4 linked regions of the Struthio camelus genome follow. The protein of the gene in region 2 purifies or fractionates together with the protein of the main gene of each other region. This does not show direct contact. Links are inferred from orthologs where the notes say so. Each region holds a gene or a part of one and is shown on either strand. Other genes may lie near its edges. The genes, in order: KIF3B, KIFAP3, KIF3A and KIF3C.

What was found.
Region 1: the proteins of KIFAP3 (region 2) and KIF3B purify together in Homo sapiens (co-immunoprecipitation; 7 studies listed by BioGRID and IntAct, counting the BioPlex papers as one, with this or other methods). This does not show direct contact. The link is inferred for Struthio camelus from reciprocal best matches to the Homo sapiens genes KIFAP3 and KIF3B.
Region 3: the proteins of KIFAP3 (region 2) and KIF3A purify together in Homo sapiens (co-immunoprecipitation; 9 studies listed by BioGRID and IntAct, counting the BioPlex papers as one, with this or other methods). This does not show direct contact. The link is inferred for Struthio camelus from reciprocal best matches to the Homo sapiens genes KIFAP3 and KIF3A.
Region 4: the proteins of KIFAP3 (region 2) and KIF3C purify together in Homo sapiens (co-immunoprecipitation; 3 studies listed by BioGRID and IntAct, counting the BioPlex papers as one, with this or other methods). This does not show direct contact. The link is inferred for Struthio camelus from reciprocal best matches to the Homo sapiens genes KIFAP3 and KIF3C.

Annotation. Positions count from the first base shown.
Region 1 is NC_090959.1:18,682,358-18,689,374, forward strand, and holds the start of KIF3B (kinesin-like protein KIF3B), read left to right. Parts: upstream 1-3,999; 5' UTR 4,000-4,073; intron 4,074-7,017. UniProt on the Homo sapiens protein: Microtubule-based molecular motor that transport intracellular cargos, such as vesicles, organelles and protein complexes. Uses ATP hydrolysis to generate force to bind and move along the microtubule. Plays a role in cilia formation.
Region 2 is NC_090949.1:8,281,538-8,288,946, forward strand, and holds the start of KIFAP3 (kinesin-associated protein 3), read right to left. Parts: upstream 3,006-7,409; 5' UTR 2,970-3,005; coding exon 2,896-2,969; intron 2,794-2,895; coding exon 2,662-2,793; intron 1,365-2,661; coding exon 1,210-1,364; intron 13-1,209; coding exon 1-12. UniProt on the Homo sapiens protein: Involved in tethering the chromosomes to the spindle pole and in chromosome movement. Binds to the tail domain of the KIF3A/KIF3B heterodimer to form a heterotrimeric KIF3 complex and may regulate the membrane binding of this complex.
Region 3 is NC_090954.1:2,345,074-2,352,598, reverse strand, and holds the start of KIF3A (kinesin-like protein KIF3A), read right to left. Parts: upstream 3,006-7,525; 5' UTR 2,919-3,005; coding exon 2,913-2,918; intron 1,716-2,912; coding exon 1,433-1,715; intron 25-1,432; coding exon 1-24. Other genes in the region: CCNI2 (cyclin-I2), read left to right, coding at 4,271-4,324, 6,102-6,251. UniProt on the Homo sapiens protein: Microtubule-based anterograde translocator for membranous organelles. Plus end-directed microtubule sliding activity in vitro. Plays a role in primary cilia formation. Plays a role in centriole cohesion and subdistal appendage organization and function.
Region 4 is NC_090944.1:1,704,705-1,712,389, forward strand, and holds the start of KIF3C (kinesin-like protein KIF3C), read right to left. Parts: upstream 3,013-7,685; 5' UTR 2,504-3,012; coding exon 1,091-2,503; intron 1-1,090.

The sequences.
Region 1 (7,017 bases), on a different chromosome or scaffold from region 2:
ATATCGTTCCTTGAGCTACAGGGTCTAATTGCACTGAATAATAAGCCACGGCTTGATATTTTCCTGCTGTAACTTGCGTTAAAACTCCACTGGCCACTTCTTATCTTTTGTGAACAAATAAGGTAAAAGGTTTACAGTAGTCTGGCAGGGCTAGGGCTGGAGCCAATGCCACTGCCTGTTTTAATAAGAAAAAAGAGTTGTCTCATTCCTTAGTCCATTCCACCATCCCAGATGGCTTCAGTCAGTGATTTCACCAACCTTACAAACCCTAGCGTCCACTGGCAATTGAATCCCACGGTTCCCAAAAAAAGCTCTGATCTGTGTGGTTTTTTTTTTTTTGGCTGTGGTTTAGGTAAGTTATTAATAATTTTTATCCTGTTGTTAATAAATTGTTGTTCTCCTAGCCTAATTCGATTTCCTAGATAAACAACCTCTTTACACAGTTGGAGTTTGGCAAGAGATGCTCGGTGCCCTTTGCTAGCTAATTTCTTTAATAAAAGTATTGTGTCTTTCATACAGGATTCACAATTGCGGCTCACTAATAATAAAAGATCATCTATGTATTATACCAGCACAGACTGACGAGGTAACCTTATATCCTGCAGATCAGTTTTAAGAATACGCAAAAAATGTTTGGAGACCCAGTGAATCCCTGGGGAGGTCTGGTCCAAGTTAGCTGATGGCCTTGCCAAGTAAAGGCAAATAGAAATTGTGAGTCAGCATGAACTGGAATACTAAAAAAGGCAGCAGAGAGATCGACAACTGTAAAGCATCTGGCATCATGAGGTATTTCAGTACTTATTTGCATAGGATCTGGAACTACTGGATGGGGTGCAAATACAATTGGATTAATTGCCCATAAATCTTGCACAAATCAATAAATAGGCCTTCCATCGGGACCAAGCTTAGCTTGGTTTATAATTGAGTATGAGCGTATTACACGGTGAGCTACGTTCTACAAGAATTCCTTGCTTAAGGAATTTGTCAATATAGGCTTTATTCCTTCTTTCATTTTTGGCAATGGATATTGATTTAAAGCCAGGAAATTATTAGTTTTGACTTCAATTTGTACTGGTTCAGCAGATTTTAGGAGCTCTACCTCAGTAGGGGAGGTAGTCCACAACTGTGAGGGCACCTCATTTAGACTTGGGGGAATCTTGGGTTCTGCTCCTTCAAAGATGGCCATCATCCCGTCTGGCAATTGTAAAGTTAGCCCTCTCTCTCAACATTTAATGATGGCTTGGGTTTTACACAGTAGGTCTCTCCCCAACAGATTAATTGGACTTCCTCTCATTATTAGAAATTCATGCCAGAAGGAGTGGTTACTAATCTCTATTTCAAGAGGCTTGGTAACAGGTAGGATCTAGGGTCTTCCTTCAATTCCTTGGATACTTGCCGTCTTTTTGGATGACGGGCTGATAGGCCAATTCAACGTTTAGTAGGTGGCTCCGGTATCCACCAGTAGCCCCTGGTGGGGTTTATAGTGGACTGTTCCCGTAAGGAAGCGAAGTACCCTTCGATCTTACAAGACATTTTCTTTTCCAGTGTCTGGGTTGATAGCAGTAGTTGCAGCAATCTCATGACGTGGGACCCAGGTCTACTCTCGGACCCAGGGCTCCTCGCTCCCTGGATATGGGAAATCCCTGTCCTCTGCCTTGCCCCTGCCTCCTCTTGTTCTTATTATACCACGTGGGGCTTGGAGAGCTGCTGTAAGTAAGCTAGCTTCTTCGCCTTTTTGTTGTTGCTTTTTTTTTTTTCTTCTTCCTTTCATCTCTCATTAAACACCAAAGTAGTTATAGAGATTCCCTTCTGTGAGGGTTTCCCTTGCCGTTCAGGAGCATGTAGTGAAGTATTTTTGGATGTCTATAGCGGCTTAGTTCACGAACCGGTTAGCCATAAGTGGTTCATTGGAACTAGTCTGTCATGCCCCTTGTCGTAATAGGGCCTGTTGAAGACGGGCCGCATATTCAGAGGGGTGTTTGTCAGGTTTCTGACGTGTTTATTGAACTGTCGTCCGATTCACCCCTGTTTGACCAGGTTCTCTTAGGGCCCAGAGTAATTCCTCCTGAGCTGTCCTACATATTTGGCATTGCTGATCATCATTCATGTCCCACCCAGGATCTGTCTGCAGCCACGACTGCCTGCCTCCCCCTGCCTGGTGGCCTAATTCTGCATCTTTTTCAAGAATTACTGCCCTTTCATCTGTTTTAAACAGCTCTTGTAAAAGTATCAGCCCATCTTCCCAGTTGGGGTGGTATCCTGCAATAATTCTTGATATCACTCAGGCAGCCTTCTCAGGGTCATCATGCAATCTCAGCATCTGCTGCTGCCATAACACCAGATCCTGGCATGGCCAAGGCTGGTGAACATACACGGATATGAGCTGGGATGGGGGAACTCCTGCTGCATTGGGCTGCCTATCTGGATTCGGCATTACATGCTATATCATGAGAGCTTGAACAGGAATAGAGGGAGGTGCAGGTAAAGCAGGCAAAGTGACAGAGACAGATGACGTTAAATCAGTAGAGTAAGAGGGAGGCACCTGTGAAAAATTTTTAGAGCTGGTCATTGCTGCCAGACCTCTGGGACAATCGGGTGCCAAATTGTCCCATACATTCCAACGATCCGTTTGACCTGGTGGACAGTCTTCCAAATGGAGCCACATAAATGTTAATCTTGCCTGATCGAAGGAACCCTCGGGTGGCTGTACCGCAGTGGGCATCCCCTCCTGGGTATATGCTGGCCGTTCCTCCTTACCACACGCTTCCTGGATAAGATCTTGGTACCATCTATATGTTTCCAATTATTTCAAATGTCTGCCAAAGGAGTTCCTGGCTTGATCCCACCCTGTGTGTTCCCCGTGATGTCGACTCTTTCCGATGCCAGTGGATGAGAAAACCCCAAACAAGTGCGTCCAGGGTGAACTTGCCCAGATGCCAGTGCAGGCATCTTCACTTGAAGGTTTCCCATCTCAGGCAGCCTATGATCCCACTTGGGTTGCCATGAATCTTAGAAACATCCTATGTTGATAGGACCACCTAAGTTACTTCTTTTCACAGGCATGGCAATCGTGGACAAATCATGCAGAACAAGCACAAGGATTACGGAGAGTTTATTTTGCTGGGCAAAATGGTCTCTCCCGCAGGAGAGACCCCTCATCCCGATACAGCCTCCAGTTTATACACAGCTGGTCATCATGCATATTCAATTTTTTTCTTACAAAGTTCCTTCCCAACAGGGGCAAACAAATAGATTTCAAACCCACGACGGGTTATCTCCTGCAAGGAAGCTATTAAACGTTCAGCCGTCTAAGGTCACCTCTTCTCTCTTTGCCACATAGGCCTAACAAACAAGGGCACTATAAAGGTGAGCGAACGTGGGGAATCGGCACAAAATGGCGATTTTCCCAAGCAAGATGGAGGTGACCAAAGTCTCCACGAGCTTCATCAGTGTTTTTCTCAGTGTAACGGTCTTGAACGACGCCATCGGGGCTGCCTTGATCACAAAGCGAGATAAGACTTTCCAAACCTTACTGCGAATATTGTGCATTAAGAGAAAACATAAAGAAAGTGTGGTATGTTTTTAACCGTAAAGCACAATGGACCTCGGCTTTGTGTTCAGGAGTCTTGGACTGAAATCCCCCCCCCCCCCCCCACCGCCAAGGTTTGCCTGGAGCAGCCTGCGCTGCGTCTCGTTCGGCGGCGACGGCCCGTCCGGCCCCGTCTGGGAGGGGGGTGCGTTAAGAACCCCCCCTCCGCCGCCCCAACCCCCGGCCCGGTCCGGTCCGGCTTCCCGCTCCGGCCCGGCCCGCTCCATCCGGGCACCGGGGTGCGGGGAATCGGGGGGGGGGGGGGGGCACGTTGCTAGGGAAGCGGCGGCGCCCAGCCCCGCCCGGTCGCTAAGGAAGTGTGCCGGTTGCCAGGGCGGCGGTTGCTAAGGAAGTGATGGCTTGGGGGCGGGCGCGCGCGTTGCCAAGGAAGTGCGCGGGGGGGGCGGCGGGCCGAGCCCGCCCCGCCGTATCCGGTGCGGCGGGAGCGAGGCGGCCGGGCGGGGGCTCCATGGTGACGGCGCAGGTGAGTCCCGGCCCCCTGCGCGGGGCGCCGCCGGCCTCGCTGCGCCCGGGGCCGGGGGGGAGGCGCGGGGCGGCGCGGGCCCTTGCCCACGCGTGTGCCGCGGGGGGGGGGGGGCGGCCCCGTTACGCGGGCCTGTGCGGCGGGGCACACGCGCGTGCCCGCCGGCGAGGGCGCGTGTCCCCGCGTGCACGCGCGTGTGCCGGGGGCGCGTGTGTCGGCCCGGGGGGGGCACGTCTGTCCCCGCGTGCACGCGCGTGTGCCAGCCCCGGGGGGCACGCGTGGCCCCGTGCGCACACGCGTGTGCCGGCCCATGGGATTGTGTTTTTCCCCGTTGGCGCACGCGTGTGCTGGCCCACGGCGGGCGCGGGTGTCCCTGGGGCTGCGCGAGGGCGGCGGCTGCGTGGCCGGTGCGAGGCCCCGGGCGTGCCGAGGGAGGTGCCGGTTCCCTCGTGCTCGCGCCCAGCCGTAAGCCACGCGTGGCCGGCGAAGGGCAGCAGCGTGCGAGGGGCTGGCGGCTGTGCCGGGGGCCCTTCCCGGCTCGGCCGGCCTCGACACCCGCTGCCGTCGCCCCGCGCGCTGCCCTCCACCCGAGCCGCGGGTGCTGCTCCCCGCTTGGGCAGGCGAGGCGGCCGCGGTGCCGACCGAAGAGCTGGCGCTTCGCGCGGTTGCTGCGCGGGGCGTCAGAGCTGTGAGCCGACCGGCGAAGCGCAGCTGAACTTGCACCAGAACTGAAACGACAACCTCGAACGCGCATGGGGTTGGGGTTTATGTAACTCTATGGCCTCTCTGTGGGAGGGTGGCATCCGAGAAGCAGCGATGCTGAAACAAACCAAGATGATTACAGGCAACAAATTAAATAAGGGCTTACAGTGTCAGGGTAGCAGAAGATGCGGTGTGGGCAGAGAGATGGCAAACGTCTGCCTAGCCCAGGCAATTGCACTGGGAGTACCCTGTTCAGTCCTTGGTGATGTGCTAGGGAGAAACTGGAGGGAGTTTGGAAGAGAACAACAACAAAGAAGAGGTGATGGGCTTATGAATAAAGGGAAAAAGACAAAGCAATTAAGCAAAGACATAACAAGCCCACAATATCTGAAGGATTTAAAGAGCAAGAAAGCAATGGAATTGTTTAAGTAGTACCCGGAGATATACACAAAAATAGGAGGTAAGAATTTAGGCGACCTACCAAGAAAATCTTCCTGAGCAGATCTTCAAGCTCAAAGCAGGAAGCGGAGCGGCCTCGGGACTGCAGCCCGTGTGAGGTTGAACGTGAGGCTGAGTAAGTAGCGCTAGAGGCCTCCTGAGAGCCGGGTGCTCCGCAGGCACCGGCCGGCTGAGCTAACCAGCTCTAACGTCTGAAACTTTCTGATGATGAGCTTAAACTAACTTGAAGTCAAATTGTGGCACGGCTTATTTTTCCAGGTATGGTCTCGTGTTGCATGAAAAGAAAAGAAAATGCTTTGATTTCCGCCTGTCTTCCCCTTTTGGTCAACTGGAATACGTTTTAAAGTGTGTTCATCTCATCCTTGAAATCTAGCAGATTAAGATGCTTAGGGAACTGATCCAGATTGCTTTAGACTTAATAATTTCACAAAAGAAAATCCTTGCCTAAAGCGTAAGAACAAATGGTACTGTGACCTGTAGTACGCTTAATTTCCAAGCTATTCTAGGCAGTCCTTTTCCACCTGGTCCATGCAGTTCAATCTTTTTGGCCAATATAAATGCTACAAACTAAATTGTTTCTTACCCAAATATATGATTTATAAAGTAAGTCTGAGAAGAAACAGTTTGTTATACTTTCAGTAAACTGTTTGTGGCAGTAGCTAAATACAGTGGAGATGTTTCATGATAGGTTGCTATGAAAATAGCCCAAATTGGGGTGAAATGAGTTTTTTTGTGACTTTGAAAAGAGACTGGCAAGTGAAATGGGGAAAAATGGCAAAAGGTTATCAAGCTCACATTAATGCGATATACCCAAAGGAACGGGGAATACACGTACATCGTAATTCTTGTTAAATACATACCTCTGCCAGTGCTGGCAGAGAGGACACGTGCTGGATATTTCTCTTTTAACTTCCAGGTGACTGTGAATAATCTTGAAAAAAAGCAGACTACTGGGAGTTTAAGTTAACTGTGTTTGTTTAATTCTAGCCAGCATCTCTTAAAAAAGCTGTACTCCTTATCTAAATAATATTTTGGATATTAACCTTACTATAATAAATAAAGGCTCCTCTTTTCAGAACTCATGCCTAATTTGAGTATTTGCCAATGCGAACGTTCACCGTAATAGTGCAGGCAAGTGAAGCCTCGTTTGTTATGTAAGCTTATCTGAAAAAAACCTGGCCCTTGTGTATTTGGACCAGTACGATTATCTCAGGTAAATATGGAATAAGTATATATTTGTATGTATTTATAATTACTCACGATGAGTAGAGGGAGAGTTGCTTTTTGTACTTCTGCAAGTCTTGTCCCTGTTTCAAATATTTTCTTTCTCCGTTCATATTCTAAAATACGTATTCCTTGTGGGTCAGACAATAAGGTCCTCTTTATCTGGAGCTGCCAGTCAGGAGGGAAATGTATTTCTGTTTCCTATTCAGTGGCAATCCAAGATTCCTACAGTAGACTGAATTCATTATGCGACTGGTAAAGCACTTTCTGTTCTCCAATGTGGTCACCTCAATGCACCTTCCGCACCTTCCTCTTTAACTACCAAATGCTTCCGTGGTTATAACAAGGGAGCGAGTAGTTTTCGCTCGTGACATCGAGGAAGTTCTGAAGATTATCCTGAGGTTTCCAAACACATTATTAAATATGTTTAGTCGTTGCCTCGACGTTAAACTTTTTAGTGAAGACTGATGGTAGAGATTTTGGGGTAGAAATGTGCTGGTTTCTTTCTCAGTCCTCTAGCTGTGCTCCTGAAGTTCTCTGCCACTTCATTTGAGATCTC
Region 2 (7,409 bases):
TCTCTTTCTTTTCTACAATGAAAAAGACATGGCTACAGTTGAAGATACGCATGTTCAGAGATAAAAGCATACCCAGTATTGTCACATTACACGTTCTGGTAGAGACCAAGGTCAAAGCCCTCTTGCATCCAGCTGACCCCTTAAACTAACATACTGACCCCTTAGACTAACACAGCTAAGGAGTCTGTTTCTGAAGCTAACAGCACATAGGGAGCAAAATAAACCCTCAGATGCCTTTGACACCTCAGTCCAAATGATCAGTTATAGCCCACTTAGCTGGGGAGGCAGACCGCAACAATTCTTAGTGCAAGAATAAAACATACTCACTTGTACAGTGAGATACCTTAACTGCTTTGCTACAGCGTTCAAGCAAAATCAAATCCGTCCTGTGATATACTAAGACACATATACACAGGATTAAAAAAGGGTAAAACACCCAGAGCAATAACAAGAATCTCTGTTTTAAACTTCTCTCAGTTGAGAGAATTTATCCAGCCTGAGAATAGAGCTTAGTATTTCATGACTGCAGGAAACCTTGCTATCCACAAGGTAACGCAGGTCCATTGATAAAAATTTAAGCATTGAGCGAAATATTTAAGATGAACTTAAAACACACATAGCACCATTAAGATCCCTTGGCATCAGACCAAGACATTATTGTTCTCACCAATTTGTTCATCAGGAAGTTATGACGTAGACAAACGTATCCGCTCAAGCTGTTTTTACCACTGTACCAAAGCTTAGCAGAAACTCCTGGCTCCAGCTTTACAGAGAGCTTGAATTCAGCCTAACAATATCTCCCCTTGCAGCAAGTGACAACTGAGGTTCTTCCAGGAAGATCCTAACACTACTGTCTTTTGATATCACTGCAAGAGCAGATGTAACACAAAGAGGCTACACCAAACAGCGGAATCTCTGCCTTCAAGATCCTGCTGAAACACTGGGCAGCCAACAAGAAGCATCAGTACTAAGTCTGACTAACCAAAAACTATACTTTGATTGTTAAAATGATAACTCTACCCCTCGTTCCCCAATATTGGAAGTTTTTTCCAAGGGCAGTTTAGCCATATACCTTCCCCGTTGTCACGTCTCTGGAGAAGGCGTATGTCAAGCAAGGTAGGACCTCAACTAAAAGAAACCTCAGACTGTGCTTGCTGGTAACACTGAAGCACCCCAATCCCCAGGCTACTTCGTTCCTGTATTATTTACCTTTCCCTGCTGAAGCATCTCTGCGATTTTGTAGATAGTATAACAGCTGTTCTACCTCTGCAAGTCTAGAGGGGTGAATGAGTTTGCATTCTTCAACTACCTTCCGAGCCAGGGAAGCAATGTCTGTATTTGCATTGAGACTCTTCAGACGAATGCTGAAACATAATCAGAGAGATTTCATCTCAATTGCTAGATTTTTCTACTTTCAACCTTCAATTTAAGTTTATGCAGTCATGCATTTGTTAAGATAAAAATGAACCGGTTATTTCCAAAGCCTGTGCTATGATTTGGAAAGATAACGTCAAAGTGTTGACTCTCTACAACTCCAAAAGGCAAGTAACCATCAAACAGATTTGACAGGGTGGAATTCTTTTTCAGCCGACAGTCAACAACGCTAAATTTGGCTATATGAACAGATCCCTTATAACCATCACAGATATAGCAGCCAATAACGTATTGTGACATGTTCCCAAAAAAGTGCTAAGGATTGCAAAGGAGCACAGCACCCAAAAAAACCTCCAAATGAGAAACAGCTGAGGAAATTAACTGCACAAGGAAATTTCTTTTGTAGTGCCTGCAGATGCAATGTCAGGAGTCTCCCATAATTCTGAGCGCTGCAGTAAAGAAGCCACATGCAACAAGGAGAGAAAACAAAAAAAAATCTCTGTGGCCATTAATGTCAGGATAGAGCAAAAAGGAACTCCACCACGTTGCTGATGCAAGTTATGCCAGTTCATCCAAAACCAGAGGAAAGTTTCTGATGCATCCAAAAATTTGAGACAATTTAAGGGTTCTCTTCCTCTTCCCCTCTTACTCTTCCTACACGCACACAGGCAGCTCAAATTAAAAAAAAAAAAAATCACTAGAGAGCGAGCAAGGAAAAAAAAAAGAAGTCCAAACTTTTAGCTTGTAGTTCAGAAATTCAGTTTATAATAGCTTTCTGGACTTTCACAGTGGGGAATGCTTCAGTGTTCTTAAAAGAAAAATGCCAAGCAAATCTAAAATGGAATGCTGTAGTGAAATCACTAGCATGGGTGACAGATTGAAACAACAGGAGGTAAGCAGGCTGAAAGCTACAGCACAAGGCTGTCAGAAGCATTACTTGCTGTTCAGTAGCATTACTTGCTCTGATGTTCACCACCACCTGAGCAGGAACCAACCACTTCATGTCTCTGAACCTCAAGTTCCCAGCACGTAAAATGGGAGTAATTGCTTTTCTTTACAAAACATCTTAAAGTACACAGATGAAAAATCAGTTTACAGCATGCGTTTCAGGTGTTAACTGTCCTAGGCACATGTTACTCCCTGGCTTCTAATTCTTCCATTAATCTAGCACTAAGTTTTATAAAGATTAGAACCTATTATTCCTTACAGGCTGTTCACGCTTTGAGTTATAAAATTTATGACTCTGTTAAAAACAGAAAAAGCTATCCAAACTTGCTACAACCTTACATTTTCTGACATTCCTTACGTTCCCCCAGCATGGGGTCTCCCATCTCCCCAAGAATTGTTGCTTCCACTTCATAGTGGACAATGAGGGCTTTCTCAGACGGATGTACATCTATGTTGCCTCCTTTTACCTTCCTGCCAGAAAGAAAAAAGAAAAAAAAAGACAAAAATCAAATAAATTACTGATTAAATTAAAAGCTGAAAAAACATGTCAGAATACAGATCAATAGCAGCAACCTGTATCCTCTTCTTTTCAGATCACAAACCCAGGCTTGAGCCTTCTGCCACAGTATGGTGTTACAGTCCTTCATTTCAGACAGCTGCAGAGAAGCTCAATCCTTGAGCATTGCCTCTAGCATGCACAAAAACACCCAAGCCATTGGTCAGGTCTTAGTCACAGAAGCAAAATAAAGGAGGAGGAGGAGGAGGATATATCTTGGGTTCCACGTCTTCCAGCTCCCTTGAGGAACTATGATCAGGAAAAAGATGCATTTCACAAGGGAAGTGAATTTCCCAGTTGATTCCATGTTACAGCACCAATGCTGCAGAATCTTCTGATAGTGGCACAATTCTAGTGGTAGAAGTACTGCCATGCACAAATGGGAAGCTTTCCCCAAAGAGTCTGTTGGTAGGCTTAGCTAAATCTTAGATGTTAAAAATCTACTAAGAATGAATTACAAAGCATTTGAATTCAAATTCACTATTCTCTCCTCAAGCACAAACCTTTTCACTACTGTTCTTCATCCATAGCCTGAACCTCTGTTATCTCAGGAAGGAACACATCTAATAGCTTGTTACTGGGCTTGGGGAATTTCCAGATCAACAGCTGACACCAAGAGAGATAGATCAAGCATATCTATCTGCTTTATTATACCTACAGATATTTTGGGAAAAGCATTCTCTAGGAAAGCACTCTGGGTTCCTCACTGCCAAAAGGGCCTCTTCTGCTCTCTCCTCCTCTGTGCCAGCAACTCCATGGCGGCACAGTGAGCTACAACAGCCCCTCGACCCAGCCTGCCATGCAAACCCTTGCACCAGCACAAGCGCCGTGTCAAGACTGCACAGGCAGGGACAAGAAAGCCATGAGGCTATACCTCATTCCTGTGTTACTTTAAAGTGATGGTGGAACCACATCCACAGTTGCACAATTCTGTCTTTGGTGGTAAAGCTGACACTTGCTCCTTCCCCACTTAGTACTGCCAATAGCGTTTGCACAGCCATCCCATAAACCAGGCTGCTAAAACACTGCAGGTTAAAAGTAACTCTCTAGAGCTATTTTTTGTTTGTTTCAAGCAGATCACTTCAATAACCAGATTTACAGGTAGCTTCATGGCTTCCCAAGTAGTTGCATCAGCATAAGTGAGATGGCAGCTCACTTAAGTGGCACATAAGTCTAGCTGTGGCACGGACTCAATTAGATCAGGGGAAACTTCCTAGGTCAGCCTCACAGAGCTGGAAATGCTAGTAAATTTAAATGCAGCCTTCAGTGTAACCACCCTCTTTAGAACACTATTGGAATACATGCCTCTGTCCACCCAGCTACTATGGTGGCTGATTTCTGGTAGGCAGAGACGCAGCTTCAAAAATCAGCTTTTTCTTGAGATACTCACTGCTGCCCCAAACCCCCCACGAACCACAGAATGGTATGCTGCAAGAAATTAAGAGTCTAGTCCAACTACCAGCCTCACAAAGACTTAAAAAAGCTACAGAGTAAACAAATATTGCTTGCCCACTGCTAAAAAGCAAGTGTCCTCCTTAGTGAGATTGGAGCAGAACCCCATTTATCACTTAGGTTTTTTTTTTGAAGATACTTCTTTTTTCTTTTAACAGTACTTTGAAACAGATTCTTCATTTCAGACCGTTATTTGTTTTCATACAAAAGCTTCACAAGGTCTGGCCTAGCACAGCAGAAAGCTTATCGGGAATCCACTTCAAAAGAAATCATCTTTCTCCCCTCTTCCCCAAATCCATTTCTCCCATATTTACAACTACCAGAAGAGCCTAACCATGAATGTTCTTCCTGGAAGTCAAACCCCTGTTAAGTTACAGCTTGAAAATATTTATAAATATGCAGGAAAGGAAGGGGGAGAGGGGAGGAAGAACGGGCCTGAAAGATTTGGGTACATTTTTAACAAGCACTAAGCTGAACTAACAGCTCATCAATTCCAAAAGGATTTGATCGTCCTATGTTTTCCCTGCTTCTGCCAGTCACTTCGTATCAGCATCAGTGCTTGTCAAACCCTTTCACAGCTACTTTCAGCAGTTCAGCAGAAAGCACTTCATATTTCGGGCAGAGGGAACTTTTTGATGCATTACTGAATTAATGCATCTATAGAAAGGGAATAACACTTCCTGTCGACAAGCAGGGATAAGGAGGAAGGAGTGAGACCTCCTCCTTTTGGCAGCAGTATACCACTGATCAGCTTAGCTACCAGCAGAACCTCAGGCTAAGACTGCTTAAACAGTTTTCGCATTTCCTGTGTTTTTTTCCTTAAGAGAAACAGATGGGATAGTTGAAAAACCTTCAGCTGCAGAGATTTTCTGTCCTCTCACAGAACCTAACCAACATCCGCCCTCCCTATCTGAGCTACATCCGGGCTGAGGGATTCACTAATAAATCCACATTCAAGTTCCTCCTCTGAAGAATGTAACCTTGTGAACTGCTTGAAGACCTACACTGAAACGCACCGTACAATGCATTCAGCCATTATCTCCATTTGGAGGATACTACATTCAAATTACCAGTGTCACAAAGAAAAGAAATTCTTTCTTTACACAAAGCAAGTGCCATTCCCTCTCCCCTGTAAACAAGCAACATTTACTGTATTGAATACTATCCATCTTGCGTTTTTGAAGACTTACTTCATCAATATGAATAACAGGAATAATATTTATTCCTATATGAATATAGGAATAAAAGGAACAATGTTTTCCTTTGAAAATATAGACATCCTTATAACTGGTAGAAGCAGCAACGCACTGAGCAGCTCTCACAGAGTCTGGCCTCTCACTTCACTGCCTGCTCTGCTGAGAAGAATTTTGCACTATTAAAGATTTAAAAGGGCAAGGCCTTTTCTACAGACAAAAGCTGCATCAGCTGAGCTCTCACACAACCAAACCTGGTGTGTGAATGCCCTTTATTAACTAATTATTTTAGGGGGAAACAGCCAAAGCAAACTATACTAAGAACAAGTGGCACAAATTGTGCATGTGGTAAGACTGAAAATCCAGTAACAACCCTAGCAAGTCTGATGTAGTGGGAGGGGGACTGCTCGTGGAGGATGACAAAGGGAAATAGGGATCAGAGGAGCACCAGTCTTACACATAAGCTTAGTCATGTTAAATATCAGCACAGCATCAGCAGTTTCTCAGTTTGCGCTCCCTCCAGGACAGAAAAGGAGGCTTGTTGCAGTGGAGACTACAAAATAAAAAAGGATTCCTCCAAGATCACATAAGATGCCACAAACAGAACACGTAAGGCCAAAAACAGGTACCGCTCTGAAATGACAACTATTTCTTTAATTACAGGTGTCCATTTGATTTTCACCTGCTATCATATTTACGTGACAGAACTAACGTCCAACAAACATTATCGAGAGTTTTTTGATTGTTTCTGAAGAAGGGCTTTAATATGCAGGATACGTGGGATGGGGGGGGGGGGGGGGGGAGGAACCAAAACACCGAAGCAGCAAGTTCTGCAAATACTACTGGATAATGTGTAAAACAAGGAGAAAGAGAAGGACCAGTAACTCCACTACATTCAAGATGAGATGGGTAAAATCACCCACATGATGGGAAAAAGTGACACTGTTCACATATCAAGTCTTAGCAGAGGCCTGGATGGCCTGACATCTTTTGGGATTGCTAACAGTTTTGCTCTGAAACAAAGGATGGAGACCCAATGGTCGCCTGCACACACACTATTGTGTAGGTTGACTGGCTTCACTGCCAAGTAGACAGAGAAAGGCACCGTTCATTCATCACATCAAACCCTGATTACCCACTTTGTTTCCATACCCCCTCAGCACCATCTTTCTACCTACTCCCCTTTCTTATCCTTGCTGCCCACATCTAACCACCCTCCCCATCCACAACCACAATCCAGCCCTAGCTATTCCTTACTCCTGCCACTCTTCTCTGGCACCTGACCACTTTTAACCCCCCCATCATACCCTGCTCTACTCCTCTAAGCACAACCTACCCTCTCACTTCTTATCACACCCTGTACACACACCTCTCCAATCCCCCACCTTACCATCCTATCCTTTCCTTTCAATCTGCTTCTACACAGGCTCATATCCCAGCTCCCTTCTCCCAGCACTCACCCTCCCTCTCCTCAGTTTTCCCACCCCAACTCCCAAACCATCCCATTTTCCCCACCCCAGCCTGCCATGCTCTAACACCTCCTTCAAACCAGCTCACCTCAAACAACCATCACTCCTCTGCTTGCTGCCACTCCAGCCCCCTCACCCCCCAACCCCTCACCCAGCCCCCTCACCCTCCCTAGACCCCACAACCCCTCACCCAGCCCCCTCACCCCCCAACCCCTCACCCAGCCCCCTCACCCTCCCTAGACCCCACAACCCCTCACCCAGCCCCCTCACCCCCCAACCCCTCACCCAGCCCCCTCACCCTCCCTAGACCCCACAACCCCTCACCCAGCCCCCTCACCCTCCCTAGACCCCACAACCACCCACGCAGCCCCCTCACCCCACAACCCCTCACCCAGCCCCCTCACCCTCCCTAGACCC
Region 3 (7,525 bases), on a different chromosome or scaffold from region 2:
TCTGCCCATATGCAAAAATAGTGCCTGAAATACAAAAAAAAAAAAATATATATATATATATATATATATATATATAAGTATATATAAAACGCTTAGCGGCTGCTGATTTTGCTGTTTTTCTTCATCACTGCTTTGCCTGATACCACTTAAACCTCTAGTTTTATAGGGCTAAAAGCTTTGCAGCTTCTCTAGTAGATACCGTACAAAGGCTAGGAGAAAAAAAATGCTGGACAACCACAGCAAAGACGGCTGAGTCACTGCTTTTCCAGCCTGCAAGACATTTGAAAGAAGCAAAGTCTGCTCCTCTTAAAACTGTACAGAGTGACTGAAGAATAGAGGGCAAGTACACTTAGGTTTTACACCCACATAATTAAGGCAAGCCCAATTAATAACACACTCAATTAGAGGAGGATCCTTATATGCCAACTGCAAAGCCAACTATTTCTAGTACATTAAGCCACAGTGGACACAATGTGAGGCTTCTATAATGCAGACCAGTTCTGAACCTGCAAGTGCAGCTACAATTCAGACTAGAAAGTCAACCTGCGTAGGAAGACATTAAGGAAATCTACTGAGATTCCAGGCCCAAGTACTCCAGCAACACACTGCTTCTTAAATTTGGCCTAACACTGCTGAAAACTAAGCAGATTTCTCTTTTGAGTGTCAAGTTTAAATACAGCTCATGAAGCACAGGCATTTATGGTTCAGAGAAGCTGAATTTTACATCAGCTGAAACCTGGGCATGCTAGTACAAGGGCAGATTATGTATCTTACACAAACCTTTAAACATTTTGTAACTTATTGTTGCTTATAGCATACTGTTATGAAAAGCAGTATTTTACTTCCTTATCATCTGCTTTCCCTTAGAAAGTACATTTACATACAAAACCGAAACACACACACAAAGCGGTCACACTCTTCCCAGTGGTGATAAACAACTGATCATTTGTGGGGTAGAGCAGGTGTATCTATCTAGTCATCTTAGTTTAAAACTGCAAAGCTTAGAGAAAAACGTGCATCAATTATACGTACGAGTCTGGCATGCATACCTAGTTATTGCATGACAACAGCAACTGCTTGGCTACTGAGATTTTAATAGTGAAGTGCCCCCGAGAAAACTGAAAATAAACATAAAACCTGTATCTTTTCCAAACAGAAGACACAAAATGAAAAAACACAGCAAGTTGACCTTGGCCGAGTCTCGCTCATCACTGATCTCCCACTGTTAACAATTACAGCATGTACAACCTCTGTGGGCGCAGACCTGCAAGTACCTTCAGCAGTCAAGCTATTTTAAGTTACTGAGGCCATAACAGAAACAACACAGAGCTACAGCCTTCGCATGGGGAAATTCCCAATAAGATCAGCAGGAACACTAATAACAGAAAGAATACAAGGCAGGATTTTCATCTTAAAACAACACAGGACTTACCATTGTATCCTTCTAGGACAGAGTCAATAATAGGTCTTGCGGTTAAGTTATAGACATCTAGCTGTTTACTCTCTGGTCCAAAAACAGTGTCAAACGTAAACGTCTTGGGAGGCTCATTGGATGAGTCTGTTTTATGAACAGTTATAGTTCCTCTCATTTCATCTACGTTGACTGCCATCTTGTAGCCTGTAGCTTTCTCTCGTTCGTTCAGAGGCCGGCATCGGACAACAACCTTCACGTTATCACAGCTCTCTGGCTTGTCCAGCTTCTCAGGCTTGTTGATCTACAGTTATTAAAAACATACACACACAAAGTCACACCTAGCACTGCATTTGACTTACCTGTGTGTTCAAGCACACACAGCGTTAGGTCAACCTAAGTAGACGCACGCATCACCTAAAAAATCATGGATTTAGGGACTTAAAACAGAACTGGTTTATAATTAAATCAGAGAGAACAATGCTTGGTTATTTAGTTAATGTAACCTTCTTCTGTCCATTAACATGGAAACAGTATCACATAAGGCTTTATAATTTCACATTCAAGAACATTTATGAATTTCTTCAGGGAATAACTTCCTGCTCACCAACAACCCGCAAGCAGTTTGCTAGAAGTAGGTGCATTTGTGCCATTCTTCTAGATTAATACTGTTCATGTTCTCTCACCTCAGAAGATGGAAGATGCCAATAAGTATTGGCTGAAAGTAATTCAATTAACTTATAAGCTTTAGGGTGTTTGTTGAATTTTAAGTTTAACCACTTGGGAAATTCAAACAGTGAATTAAAAAAAAAACCTATATATCTCTCTCTATATACATATATAGATCTAGAGAGATAGATATGGATATATCAAGTTCTTCCACAAAGAAATTCACCCGTGAAATTCTTTCACAAAGTAGCTATAAACATCAGCTCCAAGACACCATGAATTAGTCTGATGTCAGATGTTTCTCCTGATTAAACACACACACAACGCACTTCACCTGGCGAAGCCCAAGACACTATTAAAACACCTCTCCTTTGGCCCCAGCCACTACAGCCAAGCGTTTCCGGGCTGGCAGAGGCGGAGAGCCGCCGCGGGGGGACCCCGCAGCCCCTCGCTCTCCTCCACACCGGAGCCAGCGAGGTTCCCGAAGCAGCGGGTGAGTCACGGTGAGCCGCCCGCTCCGCCCGCGGGGCCCGCTCTGCCTGGCCGCACCGGCGCGGCCCTGAGACGCCGCCCGAGGCCGCCGCGGCGGAGGGGCGGGAGCGGCCGCCAGAGCCGGACAGAGGCTCCCCCCCCCCCGCCTCGACAGCCCCCCAAACGGGACTGCCCCCCCCCCCCAAAAAAAACCCCGCTCTGGGATGACGGTGGGGCCCTCCGTGAGGTGAGGCGAGCCCAGCCCTCGCGGCCTGCTCCGGGGCCGCCGCCATCGCCCGCCGGGGCGGCGCCAGGCCGGGTCGGGCCCGCTCCCCCCCCCCCTCCCCGCGGCGGGGCTCACCGGCATGGCGGCAGCGGCGCGGGGCGCGAGGCACCCGCCGGGCGGCACAACCGGACAATAACGGCAACGCGCCTGCGCCCGCGCCCTTCCCGAGCGGCCCCGGCGGCGCAGCCAATCCCCGCGCTCTGCGGAGGCCGCGCAGCCAATGGATGGCGGGCAAAGGAGGGGCCCGCTCTGCCCGCTCGCCGCCATTGGTGCCGCGGCCCAGCCAATGGCGGAGGCGGGAGGGACCGGGCTGCCGCGGCGGGGCGGGGCGCGGCGGGGCGCGTCGCGTCGCCATGGGCACCGCGGGGGGGGCGCGGGGTGATTAGTCACTGGCGCTAATTGCGGCGCGTTGGCGTTTCTCGGGGGCGGCGGGGGAGCGGCCCCCGCCACCCTCTCCGCTCGCCCCTGAGTCCCAGGGCTCGGGGGAACTCACAGGGCTCGGGGGAGCTGACGGGACCCTTGGGGGGCTGACGGGGCTCGGGGGAGCTGACGGGACCCTTGGGGGGCTGACGGGGCTCGGGGGCAGGTGACAGGTCCCTTGGGGGGCTGACGGGGCTCAGGGGCAGGTGATGGGGCGCTTGGGGGGCTGACAGGGCTCTGGGAGAGGTGACGGGGCCCTTGGGGGGCTGACGGGGCTTGGGGGGAGCTAACGGGTCCCTTGGGGAGCTGACGGGGCTCTGGGGGAGGTGATGGGGCTTGGGGAGCTGACGGGGCTCTGGGGGAGGTGATGGGGCTTGGGGGGCTGACGGGGCTCTGGGGGAGGTGGCGGGGCCCTTGAGGGGCTGATGGGTCTCTGGGGCAGGTGACAGGTCCCTTGGGGGGCTGACAGGGCTCTGGGGCAGGTGATGGGGCCCTTGGGGGGCTGACGGGGCTCTGGGGGAGCTGACGGGGCCCTTGGGGGGAGCTAACGGGTCCCTTGGGGAGCTGACAGGGCTCTGGGGGAGGTGATGGGGCTTGGGGGCAGGTGACGGGGCTCGGGGGGCTGACAGGTCCCTTGGGGGGCTGATGGGGCTTGGGGGGGTGAATTCATATCTTTTTCTCCTTTCTGTAATGTATTTCTTACTACCCCTTAGCTATTTCTGCACCCCCAAATCCTTCTCGTGACAGGGCACAGGGCTTCGCTCACGTCCCTCTCCTCTCCACACTGCCTCTAGTCCAAACGCAGAGAGCTGGCATCCCAAAGCCAAACCGATCATCAGCAATAAGCATCAAGTACAGAAATAAACTGAAGGTTGTAACAGTTTAATTGCAGTGTATTTTAGCTGGTGGGCTATGGGCGGAAGTAAGAATGTGGACAGGATTGATGTGAGGTTTTAGAAGGGCTCCTAATATGACACAAGGAACACACCATCCTGTACCGCAGGGCTGGGAACATGCCGGTCGTGACAGGACTGCCGTTTCCTCATCCCCAGCTGAAGTGTCAACAAGTGAGTCAGAAAGCTCCAGGACAAGGTATTAAGCAAAATATAGCTGCTTTACTATTTATATGTTGCTACAATGTTACTCAGTGCTTTACTGTATGCAAAGATTCCTAGACTAAGAGAGTCATTTAGCACCAAAAATGTATAACCCAAAGGCCTGACAAGAGAACAGGGAGTTATGTGTGGGCAGACTAAGCTCTAGGAATAAGAAAAGATTTAACATAAAACACGGGAACCAGCTCCCTGTAGAAAATGCTGCCTGAAAAAATCCTAGCAACGAAGGGGAGAGCTGAGGAGAGCAGTCACGAAAGATGGAGAGGCCTGATAGGAAACAAAAATGGCACAAAATGCAAAGACTCTGGCAGAACTGGAGGTAGGAGGGGGGTGGCGGTGGATGTGCTCTATAAAGCAGGAACAAAGACGCCCTTTTAGGAGCTGGAATCGCTCCTGGCAGGTATGGGGGTGCTGCGTGGGTGGAGCGAAATGGTATTTTGGCTAGGGCCATACCAGGAAGAGGCAGTGTGTTTTTTTTTTTTTTTTTTTTTGCCAAGGCAATAATTGACGCTAGGGAAGGGGTGGATTTGGGGAACATGCTGAAGGATACCACAGTTTTCACTGTGTGAGACCTTCAGCCCGATCCCGGGGCGCGCACCACTTGGCCTAACAGGCCGACAGAGGATCTCTGAACCGTTCATGGGTGAGATGAACCCCCAGGGGCGAGACAACGTTTATGCTGGAAGTACCAAACAGCTTAGCCCCGGAAAGCTGTGAATACCGTAAAACCATTCCTTACGATATGAAGCGAGAGCGGGCAACGCCGGCCTTTCCCAGGGCAGGCGCGCCGGTGTTAGGCGGTGGGAGGCCGCAACGCCCTATGCCCCCGATGGGGCTGAAAAGCGGAAACGGACTTTTCCACCGCTTGGGCCTTTTTTTTTTTTTCCCTGGGGCGACTTAATCCTACGAGGGCACCGAGCTCGGGCGCTGAGGCTTGTCGCGTCCCGCGGGCAGGCCCGGAGGCAGCTCCTGCCCCGGCCGGCGGTGGGGCTCAGCGGGGCTCGGCTCGGCTTGACTCGGCACAGCACGGTGGGGCACAGCTCGGCACGGCAGGGCGCAGTGAGGCGAGGCTCGGCACGGCACGGCACAGCACAGCTCGGCTCGGCTTGGCACGGCTCGGTGGGTTTCGGCCCGGCCCGGCTCAGCAGGTTTTGGCCCGGCTCAGCGGGTTTCGGCCCGGCACGGCTCGGCACGGCATGGCACGGCACAGCACGGCACGGCTCGGGCAGCGCCGCCACGCCGCCCTCCTCCGCCACCACTGGGGGAAGCGGCCGTCGGGGCGGGCCCCGCCGCGCGCAGCCGCCGATCGGGCCGAACCGAACCGAGCCGGGCCAGGCCAGACCGGACCGGGTCGGGCCAGGCCCCCCCCATGCCCGGGTAAGGACGGGCAACGGCTCTGCAAAGGGGCAGCGGAAGGTCGGAAGCGAAGTGAGCTGAGAGACAGCGGCTGCCGCGGCGGGGGTGGCTCCGCGCAGCCCCGGAGGAAGGAGTGCGCTGCTGTTCGGCCCTCTGACATGTTTTCTCCCCCCCCCCCCCCGCCCGCCCCGCCCGGGGAAGCGGATGACAGAACTGCGCTTTCCTCCTCTGCAACCCGACGAGCAGCAGCATGGCTGTTCTGGGTGTCGCGCTCAGCCTCGGGGAGGCACCGCGCCAGGAAATCGGAGCTAGCTCAGGGGGCTCCGCTAGTGTTATTAGCATTGCCTAATAATTCTTTTCTTGGTTTTGACAGCGGCTCCCACCTGGGAAACTGGCTCACAGAGTTGCTATGAAGTGCCCTGGACCTTCAGAGAGCCTGAGACTTGCCCTCTTCCTGGAAAACGCCATAGCCAGAGAGGCTAGGATTTGGAAAGTGCCAGTTTTCCAGGATCTCTTCCTGAAGGTATTCATCCTCTTTGGAAGCACCTAAGGGACTGTGCGGGATGCAGTGCTAGTCCTGCCATCTAGTCCACCTGAATGCAAAAGTCATCTTACGTAGACTGAGCTTAAGGAACAGAAGCGGGGAGGGTCTGTCTTTGTCTCATTTTACATCTTATGCTCCGTTTAAACCATGATTTAGAGATGCTTTGCATTTTGTTTTGACTCAGCCAGTTTTGGGAACTCTGGTGGAGCAGGCAGGTAAGAGCAGGCTCTGAATCAAGGGTTTTAGCCATAAATAAAAATGTCACATCATACTTAATTGTGCTCTACTGCTTTGTATTTCTCTCCATCTTTCCATGCGTTCAAATGGCAGGAGAGAGAATTTACTGAGGGCTAACAGAAACCAGTCCCATTCCTGGCTGTTCAAGTGAGTCAGTCACTTACTGTAGGAAGCTACAACACTTAAGGTTCTTCCATGTACAGTGGAAACGGTGATGCTCAGTTGCTTCTGTAAGGTGCTTCTGATCCATGGAACAAGGCACAAAACTGCCCTGAAAGCCTTGTCCCTTTTTCGCAGTAGTGTAGAAATGCTATTTTTATAAGGTATTTTTATTTGCAAAATAGCAAAATGCATAATGTGAAAACTAACATTAAGCAAACTAGTGGTAAATGTTAGCTGTTCTGTGCAGGTGCTCAGCCCTTTCAGCTACTCCTACATTAATGTTCAAATGCATGCCACGGACATCTATGCATTGTAACGGCAGCAAGATTAAAGTCTTTCCTCTCTCCTGAATGCATCTTCAAATAAGATATAAGAAATAAAAAAATTGAATATATTTTGCATTATGCCGGGGGTGGGGGGGGTGTCATAAACCTGACTTCAAAGGCTGTAAAAAACAAGCAAACAAAAAACAAACTTAAAAGAGCAAATCTAAATCTGCTCCTAATGCCAGTTTCTCCCCCCACCGAGGCTGTCTGGACGCAACGCATGCTGCAGCAGAGGCTTCGATCTTTTCTGGAGGGGGAAGTAATGAGCATGGGCTGTTATTAGGGAATAACAGCTCGGTTTGGTGGTTCGGTCACACTGTGCAAGGGGAGGGCAGGGCGCACCTCAGACCAGTCCTCCAGTGCCTAGGCGGTCCTCAGCACAGTTAGAGCCTGACTGACTGCACAACACGGACAAGTGTTTAAAACTGCTCGGAAGCTTGGTCTTTCCTTCGCTGTGTACACACAGCCAACAACTTTCTTCATTCCAAGCCTCCAGACAGCTGAAATGTTAATTACAGCACTTAAAAT
Region 4 (7,685 bases), on a different chromosome or scaffold from region 2:
CCAGCCCCACGGCCCCCCTGCGGCCCCTGCTCCAGCCCTATGGCTGTGGCACGGCCCCCACTGCAGACCCTGCCCCAGCCCCACGGCCCCCCTGCAGCCCCTGCTCCAGCCCCATGGCCACAGCGCCCCCCCCTGCTCCAGCCCCACGGCCGCAGCACAGCCCCCCTGCAGCCCCTGCTCCAGCCCCGGGACCATGGCATGGCCCCCCTGCAGCCCCTGCCCCAGCCCCACGGCCCCCCTGCAGCCCCTGCTCCAGCCCCACGGCTGCAGCACAGCCCCCCTGCAGCCCCTGCTCCAGCCCCACGGCCCCCCTGCAGCCCCTGCTCCAGCCCCATGGCCACAGCGCCCCCCTGCTCCAGCCCCACGGCCGCAGCACAGCCCCCCTGCAGCCCCTGCTCCAGCCCCGGGACCATGGCATGGCCCCCCTGCAGCCCCTGCTCCAGCCCCACGGCCGTGGCCCCCCTGCAGCCCCTGCTCCAGCCCCACGGCACGGCCCCCTCGCAGCCCGGCCCGGAGGATGCCGCTTGCGCGCTCCCACCCGCCCAGACCGCTGCGGGTAGGAGACTCGGGGCACCAGGAAGGATTGAGGATGGGGAGGAAGGAACCGGAGGGTCCCTGCAGAGCTGCCGGACCCTGCGGTGGGCTCGCAGCCCTGCGCGTGCCAGGCAGCGCCCTGCCGGCTGGGCCGGAGCCCCGGGACGGGCAGGAACGGCCAGGCGGTGCCCCGGGGGTCACCGCAGCCAGCGTCGATCTGCAGCATCATCCCAGCACTTCCCCCCCCCCCGCCCCCGGCAAGCTGCTTCGTCACGCAGAGCGGGGCAAGAGCTGAGCACGCCAAACTCATGCCGCCCGTGAGGGCCTCACCCTCTGCCAAATGGCTCCTCCCACCCTGCACCCCAGCAGCGGCCCACGCGGGTCGGCGCCTGAGAGCAGCCCCAGGCACCGCTCCGCAGGGGCGCGCGGCTCCGCTCGGGCGCCCTGCTTGAACCTCCTGCTGGAGCGCGGGTTCAGGCAGCCCGCTCGGGTCCGGAGGCAACGCAGGTCCCATCCCCACATCACTCACAAGCACCCGGTGCGGGGCAACACCTACCTTGTACTTGGTGGCCAGTAGCTCCGTGGCCTCCTGCTCCTTCCGCAGGTCCTCTATCATCTTCTCCTTTTCCTCCAGCAGCTTCTGCTTCTCCTCGCTCACCAGGCTGTGGTCATCCTGAATAGCTGCCTTCTCCTCTTCCAGCCTCTCCTTTTGCTCCTTCAAGTAATTCTCCATGTTCTTCTCCAGGCCGTCCTCATTGTCATCCTCCCCTTCGTTCTCCATGGCACTTTCTCCATCCATTGCTTTCTTCCTCCGGCTGCTCCTTCGCCTCTTCTTCCCCAGCATGCCTCGTTTCTCCAGCTGGGCTTTCAGCCGGACAATCTCTTCCTGAAACTCCCGTAGCAACGTGTCCTTGGGGTCCTCATTCACCCGGGGCTTGTTCTTGATGTTCTTGGCCCTGTTGGCAAACCTGAGGGTAGAGAGGCTCTCATCGTAGCTGTGAGAGGCTGGGCCCAAGGTGGCCACCATGATTGTCTTGGCGTTGCCCCCCAGGGAGTCCTGCAGCAGACGGGTCAGCTTGGAGTCTCTGTAGGGGATGTGTGTGCTTTTGCCATCGACTAGAGCTGAGATGACATTGCCCAGGGCAGAGAGGGAGAGGTTAATCTTGGACGCTTCCTTGGGGCGCTCTCCGTGGGCACCCATTTTGCTCTGGCGCTCGCTGCCAGCAAGGTCCACCAGGTTGAGCTTGCCCACCCGGATGTGCTCCTCACCATCCAGCCCCGTCTCACTGCACTCGATGGTGATGAGGAAGATGGCGTGGGAGCGGGAGCTGTACTCGTTCATGTTGGTGCTGCCCACTGACCGGGTCTGGCTCCCCAGGTTCATGACGTGCTCGATCTCTTTGACGTTTTTCGTCACGAAGGAGGAGAGGTCCTTGATGTAAACCCCCGTTTCGGGGTTCTCCTTCAACTCCAGCTTCTTGCTCTGGTCCTTCGCTAGGAGGTCTCTGATCTCCTCCTGGTAGATCTCCAAGTATGAGGCCCTCACAAGGTACTGCTGGTTCTGTGACCGGGAGATGTGGGTGAAGATGTGCTCGAAGGAAATGGGAATGATGCCCCTCTTTTCCGGCTCGGCCCAGGCCCCTTGCATAGTGTACGTCTTACCAGTCCCTGTCTGGCCGTAGGCAAAGATGGTCCCGTTGAACCCCTGCAGCACAGAGTCTATGAGCGGCCGGACCGTTTCGTCGTACAGGTCCGCCTGTTTGGAGCTGGCGTCGTAGACAGCGTCGAAGGTGAACGTTTTGGGCAGCTCCCCCGGCGAGGCCCTGGGGTTGCGGATGGTCACTTGACCCAGTTTCACGTCCATCTCCAAGATCCTCTCATACCCTGCTGCCTCCTCCTTCCTGTTCATGGGGCGGCAGCGGGCCACCACCTTCAGCGCCTCGCTGCTCCGGGGTTTGTTGGCCATCATGATGCTGCAGCTTCCCGACGGTCCCGCGCGTTAGGAGACAGACAATTGCCCCGGCCACTCCCCGGGAAACAGGCATGGATCAGAGTCCAGGGTTTTGTTTTCCTCCCGCTGGCGACGGCGGCCGCTGCAGTTATTTACCCCCGGCCTTTTCCCCCGGCGCGCTGCACAATGGACGCGATCAGGCGCGCTGCCCCGGCAGCATCGCGCGGTGGCGGGTGGCCCCCCCACGCCGGATCATCGCCGCCAGCTGGGCGTGGGGGCCCGGGCTGCGCCGCGGCCGCGGATAACGGAGCCGGGGGGCCGACGGAGTCGCGGGCAGGGGATGCTCCGGGTCGCCAGCCTCTCCTTCGCTCCCGCTAGTAGCCAGGGACCGGTGGGCGCGCGGGCCGGTGGGCATGGGCGGCGGGCCGGGGACGCCTCGCCTGCCCCTCCGGACACCCATTCATCGCGGCGCAGCCGCTGCGCCCTGCCTGCGTGCGAGAATGAGGGAGGAAAACAGAGGCGAGGGGAAGGGCTGCTGGGGAATGATGCTGCCTGGCGGGGGGCGGCGCGCCGCGGCTGATTTGCTGGGAAGCGATGCACACAGATACACACACGCACACGCACACGCACACTCCCCACCCGGGCTCGGCTTGGCTGCCAGCCCCGGCCCTCCGCCCCCCCCTCCCCGGCCGGCCGGAGTCAGCCAGGCACGCCGGGAGCTGTAGTCCTGCCTTTGTTGCTGCTCTGGCAGGATGCAGGATGCAGGATGCAGGATGCAGGATGGGATGCGGCATGGAGGATGCAGGACGTGAGAAGCGGGATGTGGGGTGCGGGCTACGGGATGCAGGATGCGAGCGGCAGCGACGAGGGCTATGGGCTGTGGGATGCAGGATCGGGGTGTGGGGATGCAGGATTTAAGGTGCGGGATATGGGATAGGGGTGTAGGACTGGGATGGGGTGGGGTATGCAGGATGTGAGATATGGGATACGGGATGCAGGATCAGGATGGCGATGGGGGGGTGCAGGGTGTGGGATGCAGGGTACAGGATGTAGGATACGGAATACGGGATATGGAATGCAAGACCACGATGCAGCCTGGGGGATGCACGGTGTGACGTGTGAGAGAGGGGATACAGGATAGAGGATGCATGGTCAGGATGGGGATGGGAGGTGCGGAGTGCAGGATGTGGGATAGAGAATGTGGGATACGGGATGCAGGATCAGGATGGGGATGGGGGGTGCAGGGTGTGGGATGCAGGGTACAGGATGTAGGATACGGAATATGGGATATGGGATGCAAGATCACGGTGCAGCATTGGGGATGCAGGGCGTAAGATGTGGGATATGGGCTATGGGATGCAGGATCAGGATACCGGATGTGGGGTGCAGGATGCAAGGTGCAGGGTACAGGGTGTGGGATACAGAATACGGGATATGGGATGCAAGATCACGATGCGGCATAGGGGATGCAGGGTGTGGGCTATACACTATGGGATGCAGGATCAGGATACTGGATATGGGATGCAGGGTGCAGGGTACAGGACTTGGGATACGGAATATGGGATATGGGATGCAAGATCACGATGCAGCCTGGGCAATGCAGAGTGTGAGATATGGGCTAAGGGATACAGGATATGGGATGCAGGATCAGGATGGGGATGGGAGGTGCAGGATGCAGGGTACAGGATGTGGAATAGAGAATACGGGATATGGGATGCAGGATCATGATGCAGCATAGGGGATGCAGGGTGTGGGCTACAGGCTATGGGATGCAGGATCAGGATCCTGGATGTGGGATGCAGGGTGCAGGATGTGGGATACAGAATACGGGATACGGGACGCAGACTCACGATGCAGCCTGGGGGATGCAGGCTGTGAGATGTGGGCTAAGGGATACAGGCTATGGGATGCAGGATCAGGATCCTGGATGTGGGGTGCAGGATGTGCAATGCATGATGCGGGAGGATGCAGGGCAGAGGATGCTCAAGGCAGGATGCACAATGCAGGGTGCGGGATGCGGGAGAGGGGATGCAGGACTCAGGCTGCGGGAGGCGCAGGGGCTGGGGCAGTTCTGCGCTGGCTGAAGCCCCCTTGACCACCTCTCCCTGCAGGATGCCCACAGAGGTTCGCTGTGCTCCCCTCCGCAGGTGCCCCGAAAGCGCTGCTGGGGCAGGGGGGCTCCGGGTGCAGCCCCCGCATTCGCAGGGGTCTTCCCTGCAAGGTGCTCGAGGACCTGGGGGGCACGAAAGGACGGTGCCCCCACAGCCGGCTGGGGCAGGGGGGCTCGAGGTAGCTGCCCTGTGCCCAGGGCACCCCAGGGCCCATCCCGGCAGGAATCAGCCCGGTCACAGGAGATGCAGCAAGCGGCTTTGGTGGGAGATTAAACGTTCCTGCGGCTCATCGAGTGGCAGCAGCCGCCTGTTCCTGCACCAGAGATTATCCCTTAATTAATTAATTAGGGTATTTACTAGCATAGTCAGGACTGCTTGGTGCCATCCAAGGGCTCCGTCTCCCGGAGGAGCCTTCGGGGGGGGACTGTCCCCGTCCCCGGTGACATGGCGCTGCCGGGAGAAGAGCCGTCCCCGTGCGTGCACCCCGGAAAGGGGCCCGCGGGGCTGGGGAGCCGCTTCTTCCCGCGGGCGTTAACGGGGCTGCCCGGTGGCAGGGGAGCTCCTTGCCCCATCCTGTCACCTGCACCGCGCTGGCCCGCTGTCCCCAAGGGCCCCAGGCCGGGTCATCGGCCTCCGCCTGGCAGCCCCCCAGTGGTGGTGCCCCTGCCCCATGTCCTCCACGGGCCCAGGGTTGGGGGGACGTGTAGGGCCGGAGCGCCAGGTAGGGGTGGGGTGACATGGAGCTGTGGGGTGACTTGTAGGGGACAGGGCTACACGTAGGGATGGGGTGACATAGAGGGACAGGGTGACAGGGAGGGATGGGATGAAATGGAAGAACAGGGTGACATGGAGCTAAGGGGTGACGTACAGACAGGTCTACATGTAGGGATGGGGTGAAATGGAGGGACAGGGTGACACGTAGGGATGAGGTGACAAGTTGGGGCAGGGTAACATGGAGGGACAGGGTGACATGGAGGGATGGGGTGACATGTAGGGACGCTCCCTCGCCCGCAGGTGTCAGCAGCAGACCGGAGCGCGTGGCCGTGCCCAAGGCTGTAGATGGCCGTCCCTGGCGCCTGGGCTGGCGCCTGCCCTCTAGGCGGCTCAGGCCGTCCTGGTCCTCGGGGCGTCCCCAGGGCGCCTGACACCTTGGGCCACCCGGCTGCACGGCTCCATCAGCCTTGGGGTGAGCATCGAGCTGGCACGGCCAGGCCCCTCCAAGCGCGGTGTCCGAACTGGCCGGTGGGGAGAAACCCGGGCCCCACGGGGCTGGATGCGTCCCAGGCCCTGGCTGCGGGTGGGCTTTGCTTGGGGGTCCCCAGGGAGCCAAGCACGGTTCCTCCTCAGGGACCCCCAGGCCCCCTCATCCTTCACCAGATGCGGCCCGTCCAGGTGTGCCCGGCTGGTTTCCACCCCCTGCTTGCTTCCCCACAGTCCCGCGGGGACGAGGCAAGGCCACCACCCGAGGCTGGTCTCCCTGGTGGCCTCAGGGACGTCCCAGGAAGAGCAGAACCCGCCTCGTGCCACATCCAAGCGGGTTTGTGCTGGGCCGCCCCACGCTCAGCCGTGGCCCCAGGGCGTGCCGTCCCCGAGCCCCTCACCCGGGCGCCGCAGGGCCAGCTGGGGGCTCCCCGCACCGGCGGCTGAGCTCCCGTGGGTGCTGGCTTGCAGCCACCTGAGTCATGGGGTGGAGAGCAGGGAGAGTCCTGGGAGCCGGCGCTGACTCACCGCCCTGACGCCCAAGTTTCTGAGGGCCTCGCCAAGCCCGCGGGGATGTTGCCCCCCCTTCCTCCTTCGTGGTCTCCTTGGACCTCCTTCATGGTCTCCTTGGCCGATCAGCCGCCCATTGGGTCAGCCCACGGCCCAGGGCGTCAGCAGGACAGCCGAGGCGGGGACGAGCATCCCCGCGGGGGACGCTGGACCAGCCGGCGCGGCGGGCTCAGGCGGGGATGCCGCCCGGGGACTAGATGCCGTTCTGCAGATGAAGCCTGTGCGCCCTGGTGGCCTCCCATGCTTGGAGTCCAGCCTGCTGCTCCTGCGTCAGCCCCCACAGTGGGGTCAAGGGTTTCCATTTCCTGCCGGCCCCGGGGCGCTGCTCGGCTGCTTCCCCTTTTCTCCCGGCGTAGGCTCATCCCCTTCCCTTGCCCCCATGTCCCATGGCCACCCCAGGACACTATGGCCATCTCTGGGACATCGCGGCCACCCCTGGGATGCCATGGCCACCCTAGGACACCATGGCCATCCCTAGGACATCTGGGCAGGTTTGCTGCTTGCTGGAGGCTCACATTCAGGATGTTGAGGAGAGGCTGAACAGACCCTGTGGCTCAACAGCGGGTTGCACAGCTGGTGTTGGCAACAGGGTTTTGGTTTCTGTGACCACGGGACCCCCTCTGAGGATCGATAACTGTTGGGAAGAGATGGGATCCCCTGACCTGATGGGGTGAAAGTATCTTTGCCAACAGGCTGGCCAAGCTGGTAAGAAAAGCTCCAGGCTGGTGTGATGGAGGGAGAGAGGATGACCACGGGTCAGGTAAGGAGGTGGCAAACGGGGTTAGCAAGCAAAGAGTCTGCAAAAGTGTGAAGAGAAGGGACCTCGTAATCACCAACAGGGCTGAAGTGGAGCCGGACAAATGTGGGTAAATAAGGGTGGGCCTATGGACAGTGTTATGGGGCAAACGCTTACACGCCTTCCAGGAAGGCAGCAGGCTGGGGTGCCTCTCCGAAGGGCCTGTGCACCAGTGCATACAGCACGGGGAACGGACAGGAGGAGTCAGAGGTCGGCGTGCAGCGGTGGGGCTACAATCTCGCTGTGATCGTGGAATCGAGGTGGGATAGCTCACACGACGGCAGCGCTGTCATGGAGGGACATAGGCTCTTTAGGAAGGACGAGCTGGAAGAGCGTTGCCGGGGGTTAAGGGAGATGATCCTGCCCCTCTACTCAGCCCTGGTGAGGCCTCACCTGGAGTACTGTGTTCCAGTGCTGGGCTCTCAAAACAAGAGAGACATGTTGCTCCTGGAGCGACTCCAGCAAAGGGCCACTAAGATGACAAAGGGACGGGAACATCTCTGCTATGAGGAGACACTGAGGG